3 linked regions of the Caenorhabditis elegans genome follow. The protein of the gene in region 1 interacts with the protein of each later gene in a pairwise test. Each region holds a gene or a part of one and is shown in the gene's direction. Other genes may lie near its edges. The genes, in order: ufd-2, F49C12.9 and sma-3.

Region 1 (5,865 bases):
AGTTGATATCAAATTGCAACGTGGGAAGGATAAGCAATCATTGTGTATAAATTGGAAATTTTCAGGTTGTGGAAGCCTCTCTCGTCGAAGGAGATTCAATTGTTGCGAAAGAAGCATCAAGCTCAGAAGACTCAGTTTCTTACATTTCTCAAAAAGGTGGTACTGTACTTGTGGATAAATCAGGAGAAATTCTTTACAAGCACATTGAAGACGATAAATCAGATTCATGGCCAGATATTGATGAAATAGTAAAACTGGTTGAAGCAAGGGTATGCTTTTTTATTTTTAAAACTCTCTTAACAAACTTCTCCAGAACGCCAAATACTTGGAGAGCACTAATAATTCTACAATATCAATTCCGAAAGGTGGAAATCTGGCAAAAGTGAATTCGGAAATTTCTGTAACAAAGGAACTGGCGACGGACAAAAAGAAACCGTGTTGCGTAATTAGTTAAATATCTAGACTACATTTACATTAAAACCATACATGTTATCTTGGCTGATCTCATTATTAATTCATTATTTTAATATTAGATTATTTAACTATGAAATAACATAAACATTAATTTATTTTCAATTTGTTCCAATGTGGAACTTCCAAAAAAAAAACACTCGAATTTAATGTGGTTGTTATTTTACAGTGAAAAAAGATGTTCGGATGCTTTGATTTCTTTTGGTTGAAGATTTTCAGACTCGTTTATTAAACTTTTACTGTATTCTTGGAATAAAAAAGTTCAATTTATTTTCAATTTTCAATCAATTTAAAAATCTATCATCTGAAGAATAAAACACAACACTATTACATAGAAGTTTCAAGGCAAACCATATATGGCCATATGAATTTTTTTGATCGTTTCAATAGTTTTCTAAAAGTACAATAATCCACGGTAATCCTACAGTACCCTGGCCATATCCCGGAATATTTACGATTGCATCAGAGTAGCAACAAACGTGTGTATTGATTGATTTTTTATCGTATTGAAGGACATCTGCTGGTGGACCAGGTACCCGCCTATAAATGTCTAGAATTGGGTGAGTCTCACAATGACGTCCCTCGGGTCTCAATTGTACACAATCGATTGTTGAGTTGCGCTACTGTTTTCCTCTTGAAACTATAGTTAACTAAACGATTTTTATTGAAAGTGAGGTTTATTCTCGTTTAAAAAAAACAATATTTATTAAAGAATAAAATTTTGTAAAATCAAAAATGTGCGTTCCATCCACAGTCTCGTTCATTTATATACTTTTTTGTTGCTTAATTTATCTGCCCCTTCAAATTCTTATTGCTCTAAAAATATTCAAATTAAGTGGTGTCTGAAAATAGAATCATAAAGATACAATATTTAACACTCGTTCTTCCGAATTCAGTTTTCTACCGATGTTTCTCTCCTGCAAAAATGTGGTGTCTCGGTAGTGCAGCAAACGCGCTCCACTGCATGTTCATTGAGAGGCCGAAATGTCAGCGTCTTTGCAGCTGCATTGCTCCTTCGATTTTTCTATCTCTTGCGCGCGCGGTGCAAATGTCTTCCTACAGTTTTTGCTCTCGAAAATAATTTTATGTTTTCCTCTATACACAATTCTAGTCCAATATTGTTTTCATACAATCCTCTGCGTTTAATTTTTCCGTCTCATAAATGTTCCCATTACCGTAAAATATTTGTTATCAGACCTCTCACCATTCTCTTTATCGTTACTCTACTTATCAAAATCACGTGATCATCACGAATTTCCAGAAATCGTAGATGATTGAAGACGAGAAAGCAGGCTTGCAGCCGATGGACATAAGTGATGCTTCTGTGGTGCGTTTTTGCCTGACATTTTATATACTCATAGGCGATTAGTTCTTTTTTCAGGCAGATGTTGAAAGCAAAGACTTCCTCACAAGTCTCTTTGACTGTGAAGGTAAATCAGATGACAGAATGCTTCGTTACGCCGATGCGATAATCGATGTTCAAAATCTGAATTTTGATGTTTCTCCTCAGTGTCTGCAATCGAACATTGCCGAAATAATCACAAAGTTTGTACTTTTATCTCAAGATGGATCAAGAAGGGGGCTGTCAAGATCGTTCAATTTCATCGACCCTGATATCATTGCTGGATGTCGTGAAGAAGACGCCATCGAGTTTCTCTTAATCAATTTTGTTCGTTGCCATCATGAGCTTGGAAAGGTACTCTATCTAATATAGTTCTATTTTTAATTTAACAATTTTCAGAGCGGTACTTCAAATTGCTACAAGAAAACTCTCGAATCTACCAGGAAAGCAGTTTTCTCAGTTTTTGTGATGATACAGAGAGGCTACTTGGAGAGCCAACTTCGCAGCCAACATGCTAGTTTGGTGTTCACAAAAAGACTTCTGGAGGATACGGTGTCAAATGTTTTTCTAAGAACATTGGTTGAATACCTTGCAAGTACAGATGAATGCGATGAAGACGCTATTACAGAAACATTTAATCCAATTTTCGGGATTTTGCGGAGCGGAATTATTTGTCAACGCTTTGAAGACAATAAGGACGAAATTGTTCGTCAGATCCTTCGTGTGATGAACTTGCTTCTCAGTATCAGACTCCCTTCAAACGGACCTCGCCCACTGAGTAACCTACTTGTTAATCGAGAAGATTTTCTCCCAACGCCGTCCGAAAAAATACAAGGACGCGAGTTTGGTTTAATGTCCTTCCTAGGACCGTTCTTTTCGTACGGCCTCGAATCATCAGCAAGGCGTCCAAATCATCGAGTTTTTGTGGATTGTGAAGAAGATGCAAGAAAATATGATGGATCAGTCAACACTGAGCAGAAACTGTATTTCCAAAGAATGGATCCAATTCGAACTATGCTTCATCAATTGATGCTTCCGCTTGCTTCGGATCAAGGAAGTCGCAACAAAACTCTAAGATGGATTGCCACCATCATAAGCACCAATGACATTCGCACTCGTTCACATTATGATCCTTCAGATGTCTTGTGTGATCATTATATGACAAATTTTTTGTCCGTGATGTACATGTTTTCCGAGAAAATCGACTTGTCCAAAATTATCGTAGATTATCCGTTTTTACCGAGTTCGCTTATAAATATTTCCAAGGAGACTCGTCTCAAAATGGACGAATCAGGAGCAGTCGCTTTTGCTAGCCAATTCGGTAAGTTTCATTTTTCTTTCTCAAAAAATTAACTTGTTTTCTTTTTCCAGCAGATCGTCCAGATGAATATCATTTCTCTACAGTCTGCTTCTTCCTGACAATTGCAGCACAGAGGCTCGTTATTCCTCCATTGATGAATCAAATAAGTGAATACTCTCGACACCTTAAGGAGCTCAAGCATAAGATCAATGCGCTCAAAGAAAAACTAAATACTGTGTCAGGATTCGAGAGAGCTGAGGTGGAAAAGAAGTTGAACTATGAGACTGAACACTGGAAGCTCATGTCTCGTCATCTTTTATGTGTTAAGACACAAGCTCAAGATCCTGCATTAATGGCATCTTCTATGGATTTTGTCGATAAGCAGATGAAATTCATTTTGAATTTGCTTTGTGATAACTTGGATTTGCTCGGAGACGACAGTCAACTTCCAACTGAAGTATCACAAATGTTTTGTGCGCTCCCAGAATATTTTCTAGAGGATGCTCTCGATTTTTACATATTCGCTATTTCCAATGGAATGAAACTGCTCATGGAGAGAAATGCGGATTGGATTTCCCGTCTGACGGTCCTTTTCACACAATATCACTACATCAAAAGCCCATTTCTCGTTTCCAAACTGGTGAGAGTGCTGTCTTCTATTCAACCTCCATTATGGTTCAACGTGGTCAGACTTCGAATGGCACAAGAAAATTTATTGATGTGCATGATAAAGTTCTACTCGGATTTCGAAGACAATGGTGACTTTTATGAAAAGTTTAACGTTCGTGGAAATATCCAGTACATGTTGGAAAAAATGGAGGAAGATATGTTCTACAAAGGAAAGTTTATGGACATGGCAAGAGAATGCGGAGCAGAGTTCATTCGGTTTGTCAATATGGTGATTAACGATGCAACATGGTGTATAGATGAGAGCTTGTCTGGTTTGAAGAGTATCCATGATGTTGAGAAAAAGATGGCGAAGTAAGACTATTTCGAATGATAACTTAAAAATATAAATTTTATTTTCAGCAAAGTCGAATGGGACAACACAGATCAAGAAATCCGTAATCAGGATCTCGGCGTGTACGAGGAGGCAAAACGTAAAGTGAAGGGATGGCTTGGAACAGCCAAAAGTAATCTTAAATTGCTACTATCGATTACCGTAAACTCACCCGAACCTTTCCGTACTCCGGTTCTCGGCGAAAGACTTGCTGCAATGTTGAATCACAATTTATCGCAACTCATTGGTAGCAAGGCCTCCGAGTTGAAAGTCAAGGATCCAAGAAGTTATGGATGGGAACCACGGGAGTTTGTATCGTTGCTGATCTCAATCTATTTAAAGCTGAATATGCCTGCATTTGTTAAATACATAGCATACGACGAGGTTGGTTAACACATTTGTTTATTCAAAGAGATTTATTTTAATTATTTTTCAGCGTACCTACAGTCCTGAATTCTTCCATAATGCGATTGAATGCATGAGAAAGAATAGTATTGTTGGATTCAGTCAACTCGAAAGTTTCGAACATTTGGCCGAAGATGTTAAAAAAGAGTATGAGGCAAAAGCTGAGCTTGAAGAAGAGTATGATGATGTACCAGAAGAGTTCAAGGATCCTATTATGGATGCAATTATGGTTGATCCTGTCAAATTGCCATCAGGACACGTGATGGATCGTGCAGTCATCGAGAGGCATCTTCTCAGTACACCCAATAATCCGTTTAATCGTGCTCCCTTGTCGCACAATGAGCTTTCTCCCGATTCTGAGTTGAAGGCAAAGATTCAGGAATGGATTTGCCAGAAAAGAAATTCAAAGAAATAATTTTCTATCATATTCTATTGTTACCCAATTTTGTATTTATTGTACTTGACCATTGCACATGTGCAAAATGTCTGTAAATTTCACGCGTTCCTTTCATTTTATAAGTTTTTCTGGTCTCTCAATGGTCTAATCTTTCGGTTTCGGTTTCATTTTCTGCATGGATTCCTTAAAGTTGGTATTCTTGCCCTCTTTCATCAAACCTAAAAAACACGAGTAGTGCCTTGAATGTGAATAAATTTATACTAATTTACTTATTTTCTAAATTTTGGCTTCTATTGCGGTCTCCGATCCGCATACTTATATTTTTATTCTTTGTGAATTTCTTCACATATTCTGATTTTAGCCTTGAACCTGGAATGACTAAATTTCTGTAGGTTTATAACGAACGGTGTCGTATTGTTTTGTGATTTGTTACATGTCAATAACTTATAATATTTATACGTTCCCAGTCATCCCAAATCCGATTAATTTTTATTTTTGAAATATATTTACTGCTTTCAGTAGCTTGGTACATCTGGAACGTATTTGGTCGACGGCAATGTCTTTATTCGCGAGACAACTTCAATCCTTGACTGCCAGTGGAATCCGCACACAGCAAGTTCGTCTTGCGAGCACGGAAGTATCATTCCACACAAAGCCATGCAAACTTCATAAACTTGACAATGGACCAAACACCTCTGTCACCTTGAACAGAGAAGATGCTCTCAAGTACTACCGTGACATGCAGGTCATTCGTCGCATGGAGTCTGCTGCTGGAAACTTGTACAAGGAGAAGAAAATCCGCGGTTTCTGTCATCTCTACTCTGGTCAAGAAGCTTGTGCCGTCGGAATGAAGGCTGCAATGACAGAAGGAGATGCCGTCATCACTGCTTACCGTTGTCACGGATGGACCTGGCTTCTTGGAGCTACCGTAACCGAGGTTCTTGCTGAAT
Region 2 (3,842 bases), on another chromosome or scaffold:
AGGATTTACACGTTTGAAGAACTGGGCTCGGTTATGCATTGATAACTCTGGCAAGCTTCTGAATGCGGTTGAGCAATATATCTCCATCCTTGATAACTGCCTTGTACAGATGATTCTTCGAGTCACGATGATTCACTTCAATCACTCCGTTAACAGCATCAATACGACATTGCAATTGCCCAGTCGCAATCAGACGGTGCAATTCGCGGTCGATGAAAGCACGGGAAACACCAAAATCCTTGGCCATCATATCGATACGTACAGTCTTGTAAGGAGTCAAAAATTGTTCGTAAGCGCGATGGCGCATTCCACGAGAGTAATAGTTGAAGTGTGGCGATAGATAGCGATCAAACTTGAACTGAAATATAACGATAAGTGAAAAATACAAGATTTGTTTTAGTAACTTACTCTCTCGCTTTCAAGAGCGGCCAACTGAATGAAGAAACGATCGTAGTGACAATCATAGTATGATTCGAGATACTCACGAACTGGAATCAATGTTCCATTGAGTCCCCCTCCGGTCAGCTGTTCTTGAACTTCATTGCAACGAATAACCTTGGTACGAAGGTCTGGTCTGTCCAAAGCAAAGGTTGTGGTGATGACAGTGTAGAGAATCAAGTTTTCATATGTCATGAGCTCGTATGATCCGAATGTTGGCACAGCTTCAAGGAACAAATCAGCGGCTCCAGCAAAATCACGAACAGACATTCGGTAAAGCGCTTCGTAGGATCGAAGGCGATTTTTGCGTTCCCAGTCTCCTCCTTGCTCCATAAGTTCTTTTGCTTTGGTGATAAACTTGTTGATGAGATGATGATCGAGGAAGAAAAGTCCAACACGAATCATGGCGAAAACTACATCAATACGATATCCCATACCGACTGTCTTCTCATAGGTGGCTGTGTACGCTTTCAGAGCGTTGTCTTTGTCACCGATCTGACAGTAGTACTCGAACTTGCGGAGTAATCCCTGACGCACTTCAGATTCGCCAAGGTTCTTCTCCGCGTCTTCAACTTCTGCGGTGATTTCATCGATCTTTTTCTGATTAGCTGCTTTCATTGCAGCCAATTGTGTTGCATCTACGACAATTTTGAAGTCAGCGCAGACAAGCTCGTAGAATGGCGCCATGTCGAATTCTTTGATAGTTTCCTGAAGCTTCTCGAGCTTGGCTTCTTTCACGCTGCTGTCTACTTCGGGATGATTGAGCATGAATCTGGTTTGTGATAACTCAAGATCAGGCCATCTTGAAATGATCTGAAAACTCTGAACTTGAATGATTTCAAAACTACTGATCCGTACCTCCTTATCGAAGTTTCCATCATCTACGGGTTTCTTCGTGCTCTTTTTGGCAGCCTCTGTCATCCTCCTTAAAATGAAATATGAACACTTGAAATTGTAGCAAACGTTAAAAAGCGGCCAAAACGGAAATAAAACTGTTCAATGGTATTTCAAACGTGAAATAGCATTTTAGTTAGTTTTCATTAAATTTGCTGTAATTATCGAAATATAGATTTGGTATTAATTTTAGTGTCTAGTTTGTTAGTTTTTGAAAATAAGCGTTGATATCTATTTTAAATTCGTAATAGTGCCTTATTTTACATTACAGTGAGCGGCACAGTGAAAACTACGTTAAAATATCTATTTCATAGTGCATAAACAGACAAAACCGTATCAAAATTCAAGAAAACTGGGGGAAAAATTCAAAATGGGACGAATAAAAGTGGGCGGGGATGATGACAAGGGTTTGCAATACGCGGCGCATGCTTTCGCAATTCCGCCGCACGGTTTTATTCATCCTTTCATTATCGAGCGCTCTCGTTATTAGCGTTTGAACGCAGGAAACGGAGCATTTGTTTCGCATTCAGTTTTCAACCGCCATCCCGTTGTATTGAGAAACATGGTTAAATTGCATTTAAAAACCACCTGCCGTGAAGTCCCGATCGAAGAGATAATTTCTACTGGACAGATCCAATTCTTCAAGCATTTATCAGAAAGTACTTCCGAATTCAAAGACCAAAAAAACGTTGAACGTTTCCGTAAGTTTATTTCTTCAATTATCGATCATATTTATTTCTTCAATTATCGAATCAATCACTTTTCAGGTTTGATTTATAACGGAAGAGCATTGAATGAAGAGAGCCTAAAAAAGATTACTGATGCTGATTCAATCAGAGTCGTGCTGCTTCCACCGCTTAAAACAAATGTCAGTTTTTTTCCGTTTGAAACCCAAATTAATTTTAAGATTTTCAGAACCACATCGAAGAAGAGCAAAAAAATCGAATCAGTATTGCTCTCAAGGAGTGTACCGCCCCATATACACGCCCAAATGATCGTCGGCTTCATGGTTTCAACCACGACTTTGCACTTCCAGATCACATGACAACGCTTCTTGAGAAACACCCACAGCTGGTTCATGATAATCAATTTTTATCTGTTCTGAGTGATTGGTCATTATTCCGTGCCTATTGCGTTCAGAACGATTTCAAAGATGATCCAATTCGGGGACAATTCATGTACACGAATCCCGATTTCTTGAAAGTAGTAGAAAATATTCTATCGACAGTAGGATCTCGTTACGGATACGAAAACCTTGATTATGCAAACGTGGAAAGAAATAGACCAGGAATGCTTGCAGCTCAGCGACCAATTGGAGGTGCTCAACCGGTTACTCATGCGTTGCTTCAAAATGTAAGATTTCTTGGACACACTGATTCTCATAATTCGAAAAGAATAATTGAAATATAATAATAGTTGAATACATATTTCTACTAAATTCTCCATGCCAATTTTTTCAGGCTCTCCAAGCAGCCCTGGCAAACATTGCAGTTCCTCCGGCAAATCGGGTTCCAGCTCCCGCCAATGTCCAGCCAGCGCAACAGCAGCAAGAAGAGCCAATGCAGCAAGGATATGAACAACAAGCTGCGACTCTCCGCGAGTTTGGATTTGAAAATGATGAGCTCATTCAGTTGGCTCTCGAACAGGCGAATGGAGATGTGCAAGCGGCTATGGAGTTTCTTATTGATCTCCAAAATTAATCTACACCAATGGTTTTATTCTGTCTTCTCATTAACTTTTTCTGTCTATAAGTGTTCATAATTCGTTTTTAATGCATTCAAATTGCCCTATTCATTCGTCAATAGGGCTAAAATAATCTCATATCTGTTTAAAATAAAGCAGTGAAATGAAATCACCGTTTATTCGTCTAAATCACTCTTCTACAAACTCTTCTCTGCTTATTTAGTGTCTCTGGGTCACTATAACATCGGATAACAACTTATTTCCCTGGGGTTGGGAATGGCAATATTCACTTCGCTTCTGATTCAAAAAAAAATACAAAATAGTCCAGTACATCGGCAAATACTCTTTTACTACGGACATATTTTTTACTACTTCTTATAGTGATTATTACAACGAGTTGAAAATGCATTTTTTATAGTATCATACATTCTAGAAATTAACAATTGTACTTATCAATTAAATAAAATTAGATAGGCCACAGTTTCAGTTTATGCTCGAGTAGTTCTAGCAAATCTGTGTTGCTTTCTTCTGACGGGATACTGAGTTGGAGTTGGCGGAGTGATACTGCTGGGTTACTGTAGTGGTACTGTAGGCGCAATTAATATTTTTTCGCAGAATCAACAAATTTGTTCCATACCTATTGTTTTTTTTGAAAATAAAAAAACATTTCCTGGTCCGTTCGGTAAAAATTTACCGTATTTCCTCTATCAGTTTTGCACCCATTCATCTGTTCCCTATGCGATTCAAATTTCGCATTATAAACACATTCTACAAATTAGGAAAACTCTTACAGACTTGGTATATAAAGTCAGAATTGGTTAGTTATG
Region 3 (5,459 bases), on another chromosome or scaffold:
TATATGATATATTTATACATATATGTAGAGTTTAAACCTAATTTCAACACCTAAATATTTCAGGCTAAAGCTGCATTAGAAGGTATGCATAATCCAGTTGCTTCTCGCCTTCAAAGATCTTTTCTCAATACATGTGAAGATATGCACACAACTATCAAATTAAGATTCTAATTTTTTTGTTTCAGAATATTTAGACGTTGTTTTTTGTTCATCTAGGCTCCTTATTTTTTAGGCTCCTTATTTATTAATTTGTTCTTTTTTTTTTCAAATTTGTAGTAGCTCCCCGAATTGTTTGTCCCCATCTCTAAACATAATCATTTGAGTTCATCATCGTTGGATCTCTACAGATCAATCTTTCGCCTTTTCTTTCTTCCCCCGATGACGTTTTTCTTCCTCCAAAATACCGATTTCAACTGTTTTTATTTCGCCCTCTCACTATGTTCATGTTTTTGAAAGAATAAATTGCTCTCTGACTTTTTTTTTTTTTCTTGCTAACTGTGTCCCCAACCATCCTTTGTCCCCTGTTCCCTCTTCATTCTATTTCAACGAGCGGTCACCGATGTGACCAATAAGCGCAAAGGCACTAAGAAATTGGGAAAATTGAGAGAGGGTTGCGCCATGAAGAGACGCAAAGATTAACACAAGGGCACATTTACCTTTATTCTACCTACATCTATCCCCCAACACAACGGACACTATTTTATATCGGTTGCAGGGCGTGGGGAAAGGTCACCACCAACACTGCCCCAGTCTGATGTGATTCCATCCGGGTTTCGCAAATACTTTTTCAATTTCACGTTATTCAACATTTTTATGATAGAAATTCATTTTGAGCAAATGACATAAACAACATGAGATCATAGTGACAATGTTTTCAAATCCATATATTTTTTCGAGATGATTAAAGGTGGAGTAGTGCCAGTGGGGAAAGTGTTAAAAACTATTCCTATGGTGCCAAAAAGACCGAATATCATAATTAAACCTTTCAAAATTTTTTTTGAAATTTTTTATTTTATGTCAAAGAGTGGCAACTATTATATGTGTATTTAAACAAAATTCCCACTGGCGCTACAGTACTCTGCCTTTAAATGGAGTATTGCCAGTGGGAATTTCTACTCGAAAAGTCCATGAACGAATATCATAATAAAAACTTCGATTAAAAAAAAAAGTTTTGAATAGTTTTAGTAAAGTGACAAATTTTCGTGAAATCTGGAATTTTTTGGACAATTCACTACAATGTTGAAATAGAAATATTCGAAAAATAATTAAAATGTAATATATATGGAAATCTTCTCTGATCAGAAAAGAAAATAACATTTTGGCATTCTTCCAAAATGTGAGAACTTGCCACGTTTTGTCTGGAACATCCCTCATCCCAACTCAAATTGTTCAATTAAAAAGAACGGTGTCATGTCATGAAAAAAGAATTTAAAAGTGCAAACAAAAGAACGATTCATTTTTGTTTTCTTTGTGTTCATCTTCATTTTCTCAGTCTCTCTTTACCTCCTCCGCCTTCCCTGTTATCACTTATCATCTCATCATTTCCTTTACTCAAACATTCACTTTTAGCCTTGTTTCTCTCTTTCTCTCATTCATTTTCCGCTCAGTTTACCCACTTTTTTTGTTTCTGTTACCTGTTACTATTTCTTATCGCGCAAAACAAAAATCGATAATAATTATTGAATTAGTTTTTTTGAAATGAGAGCAAAATTTCAGTCAAAATGAACGGATTACTGCATATGCATGGTCCAGCTGTCAAAAAGCTTTTAGGTTGGAAAATTGGAGAAGACGAAGAAAAATGGTGTGAGAAGGCTGTTGAGGCATTGGTGAAAAAATTAAAAAAGAAAAATAATGGATGTGGTTAGTCAAATATATTTTTTAAAGGAATTTATAATAATTTAGGGAGGGACATTTCTGAAAAAGGGTCTCGACGCGCTTATGAAAGTTTCAAAACTATTTTTGTGATTACCTTTAAATTTACAGTAGAAATATTTGAGCCTCCTTCCTCTTAGTCTAATTTTTCTTACGATTTCTTATGATTTTCATTTTTTTTAACTTGCAAAAAACTATAAAAACAGTAAGAAGAAAGCACCAAAAAACAAACTTAACATTTTCGAATGTATTCGAAAATACTATTGGCGCGGCGAGACCCATCCGAATGTTAAGCATATTGTTACGGATACAATATAATATTATGATTAACATTTTCCGATGACCCTTTTCGATTCATGAATCAAAGTGCACCTTATTTATAAGTTAGATCATAAATATTAAAAAAAAAGAAATTCAACCGATCCATTTCAAATTCTAAATTCCAGGAACCCTCGAAGATCTGGAATGTGTTCTAGCAAACCCATGTACAAACTCAAGATGCATTACGATAGCAAAAAGTTTAGACGGTCGGTTACAGGTATGTGGCGCCGTTGTGGTTGCTTAACGTAAATTTGTTCGCTAATCAGACAACTGTGATAACTTTCAAAAATAACACTTTGGTTTGAAATAACGACTTTTTGACGCCAAACTTCCGGCTTTTCAGGTATCCCATAAGAAAGGTCTTCCACATGTGATTTACTGTCGAGTATGGCGGTGGCCGGATATAAGTTCTCCTCATGTAAGTTAATTGGATATATTAATTTGAAATTTTTGAATGTTCATTTCAGGAATTACGTTCAATTGATACATGCTCCTACCCATATGAATCTAGTTCCAAAACCATGTACATCTGCATTAATCCATATCACTATCAGAGGTTTGTTCTGAAAGTTGTTTAAAATTGGAATACATTTCAAAAATGAATAAAATTCCAGATTATCACGACCACAAGGCTTAAATTCTTCAATGCCATCACCACAACCAATATCATCTCCAAACAGTAAGCGTTGGATCTAAAAATTGTTTAAACATATCAGAATCTTCTATTAAAAAAAAACAACTAAACTCTCTTTAAAATTCTCTAGGGAAATTAAATGAAAAATACATAAAATTGCAGCTATCTGGCAGTCTAGTGGAAGCTCAACGGCATCTTGTGCAAGCTCGCCGAGCCCGTCGGTTTTTTCAGAAGATGGAGGAGAAGTGGTTAGTTTTTTTGCAATACACATTTTTGCAAAAATTATAATTTTCAGCAAGTTCACCAGCGACCTCCACCGTTCCGTCATCCCAAATCCTGGGCCCAAATTACGTATTTTGAGTTGAATTCGAGAGTTGGAGAAGTTTTTAAAGTGAGGTTTTGATTTTTCAAAACAAAACAAAATTGGAGTTTCAGCTAGTGAATCTGAGCATTACAGTCGACGGATATACTAATCCATCAAATTCAAATACAAGGTAAGATTTTGAAAGACATTCGAAAGTAGAAATAAATTGATTTTAAAAGTGAAAAAACCAAAAAATAATTAGTTTTTTTCGATTTCGGTCGGACTTCTAAAAAATGTTCTTACAAAATATAAATATTATTAGTTTGATTTAAATTTCCTCCATTAATACGGTATAATACATATCTTCTCTATAATATTATCATAGTTATTAAAAAGTGGACACTTCGAGTTAATTAACGTGAAAATTGCTGATTCGAAGCTTTAACTTCGAGAAGTTCTGAATAATAATAATTCTTACCGGTTTCTTTATTAAAATAATCCGGAAATTTCAGAATATGTCTTGGACAATTAACCAATGTGAATCGAAATGGAACAATTGAGAACACACGGATGCATATTGGAAAAGGAATTCAGCTTGATAATAAAGAAGATCAAATGCATATTATGATTACAAATAACTCTGATATGCCAGTTTTTGTGCAATCCAAAAATACGAATCTCATGATGAACATGCCACTGGTCAAAGTCTGCCGAATACCACCGCACAGTCAATTATGCGTTTTTGAGTTTAATTTATTTTTTCAAGTGAGGTTTTTAAAATTTAAAATTATTTTCATGCTATTCTTCAACAATTGTCAAAAATTAAGATGTTGGAACAGTCGTGCAACGATAGCGATGGATTGAATGAACTCTCCAAACACTGTTTTATTCGTATTTCTTTTGTAAAGGTTTGTTCTAAATGTTTGAATTCCTTGTAGATTTATACTTGTTAAATTTATCGTGAGATTTTCAAATGAAACTTCGATAAACAAATTTTCAGGGCTGGGGAGAAGATTATCCACGTCAAGACGTCACATCCACGCCTTGCTGGCTTGAACTTCGGCTCAATGTGCCACTGGCTGTAAGTTTTTTTGAGAAGGAATCGTATCTGGAAATTTATCAAATTATCAAAAATATTCTATAAAATTTTTGTACATTTTGTAAATATCATCCAAAATTAAGCCATATTTCTATTTTGGGTACTTTTCCGATTTCTGCCCCCCCAATTTTTTAAGTTCAATATTTCAATTTCAATTCTCACGTGAATGTTTATTTCAATACTAAATAACAAAAAAGTTAACGTTTCATTAATGAATATATCGAAAACATTTTGGGGGCAGAAATCGGAAAAGTACCCTATTTTGTTTGAGTTTTCTGTGAAAATGAAATATTTTCAGTATATCGATCAAAAAATGAAGCAAACTCCAAGGACGAACTTGATGGAACCAAATTCAATGACATAATGATTTGTTAAAAACGCTTTCCTTCTCGCAACCACCTGAATTCAGAATTTACCTACTCTAATGATGATACTTGTAACATGTTTTACATTTGCTGGTTCTTTTTAATTATGAAGATTTCTTTTAATGTTGTCATGTTCTTCGAACATTTACTTAACGAAATTCTCAGAATGATTTCGCAGTTTTTTTCGGTCACGACAAAAACGCCCCCTAATTCTTGGGATTTTTAATTGTTTACTCTGAAAATATGCTCGAAAATTTTGAGCAAATGATTATTTATAACAAATCCAATACGTAAAATTAACTATTAGATCCATTCTGGGAAACGTCCACAGACAGCTCCATAGTTCCAGAGATCGGATGCACCTTCATTTTCTGGATGCTTTACATAGTTGCAGAAGACGTCATTGATCAGCTCACTGCGAGCAGGGAATTGAGAAATTGAGAGTTGAAGGCAAGATTCAATGCTTCTGGAAATCATATTTAAAAAAAAACAACTTGCAACTGTAACTAACTTTTCAAAGATGGTCTGTCCTGGTTCAGTTGCAGACCAGCTTTTCCACATGAAAGTATTATCAGTATGCTTCTCATCAGTAGTGAAACCAGATGATGAATTCCTGCATTCTACAGTAGCCAAAACGGTTTTATCTGTAGTCTCGCAGTTCTTCAAACGATGTCCATCGACAATCATTGATCCACGATCCAATTTCTTTGCAGTAAGGAAATCACGAAGAACAGTGGAAAGTTTGGTACGCTCATCAAAATTTTCAAATGATGTCAGGATTGATCCATCTTTCTCACAAACTTTTTTGGCTTGATTTGGAGAGATGAGAGTATCAGACAAAATTGCCTGAAAAACATTATAGAA

What was found.
Region 2: the proteins of ufd-2 (region 1) and F49C12.9 interact in a two-hybrid assay, tested with the Caenorhabditis elegans proteins (one large-scale study listed by BioGRID).
Region 3: the proteins of ufd-2 (region 1) and sma-3 interact in a two-hybrid assay, tested with the Caenorhabditis elegans proteins (one large-scale study listed by BioGRID).

Annotation. Positions count from the first base shown.
Region 1 is NC_003280.10:8,061,011-8,066,875, forward strand, and holds ufd-2 (Ubiquitin conjugation factor E4 ufd-2), read left to right. Parts: upstream 1-1,730; 5' UTR 1,731-1,741; coding exon 1,742-1,798; intron 1,799-1,840; coding exon 1,841-2,167; intron 2,168-2,212; coding exon 2,213-3,134; intron 3,135-3,184; coding exon 3,185-4,094; intron 4,095-4,142; coding exon 4,143-4,497; intron 4,498-4,549; coding exon 4,550-4,933; 3' UTR 4,934-5,183; downstream 5,184-5,865. Other genes in the region: T05H10.8 (peroxiredoxin-like family protein), read left to right, coding at 66-269, 314-454; pdha-1 (Pyruvate dehydrogenase E1 component subunit alpha), read left to right, coding at 5,290-5,303, 5,435-5,865. UniProt on the Caenorhabditis elegans protein: Acts as an E4 ubiquitin ligase mediating the assembly of polyubiquitin chains on substrates ubiquitinated by another E3 ubiquitin ligase. The elongation of preexisting ubiquitin chains preferentially targets ubiquitin 'Lys-29' and 'Lys-48' residues.
Region 2 is NC_003282.8:9,314,160-9,318,001, reverse strand, and holds F49C12.9 (UBA domain-containing protein), read left to right. Parts: upstream 1-1,786; 5' UTR 1,787-1,894; coding exon 1,895-2,033; intron 2,034-2,099; coding exon 2,100-2,200; intron 2,201-2,247; coding exon 2,248-2,685; intron 2,686-2,792; coding exon 2,793-3,032; 3' UTR 3,033-3,185; downstream 3,186-3,842. Other genes in the region: rpn-7 (26S proteasome non-ATPase regulatory subunit 6), read right to left, coding at 32-358, 409-1,251, 1,297-1,359.
Region 3 is NC_003281.10:6,860,226-6,865,684, reverse strand, and holds sma-3 (Dwarfin sma-3), read left to right. Parts: upstream 1-1,716; 5' UTR 1,717-1,721; coding exon 1,722-1,860; intron 1,861-2,318; coding exon 2,319-2,410; intron 2,411-2,536; coding exon 2,537-2,611; intron 2,612-2,660; coding exon 2,661-2,749; intron 2,750-2,807; coding exon 2,808-2,872; intron 2,873-2,989; coding exon 2,990-3,075; intron 3,076-3,122; coding exon 3,123-3,218; intron 3,219-3,262; coding exon 3,263-3,321; intron 3,322-3,643; coding exon 3,644-3,896; intron 3,897-3,958; coding exon 3,959-4,039; intron 4,040-4,131; coding exon 4,132-4,212; intron 4,213-4,528; coding exon 4,529-4,594; 3' UTR 4,595-4,711; downstream 4,712-5,459. Other genes in the region: cra-1 (N-terminal acetyltransferase B complex subunit NAA25 homolog), read left to right, coding at 64-171. UniProt on the Caenorhabditis elegans protein: Involved in TGF-beta pathway. Plays a role in male tail tip morphogenesis.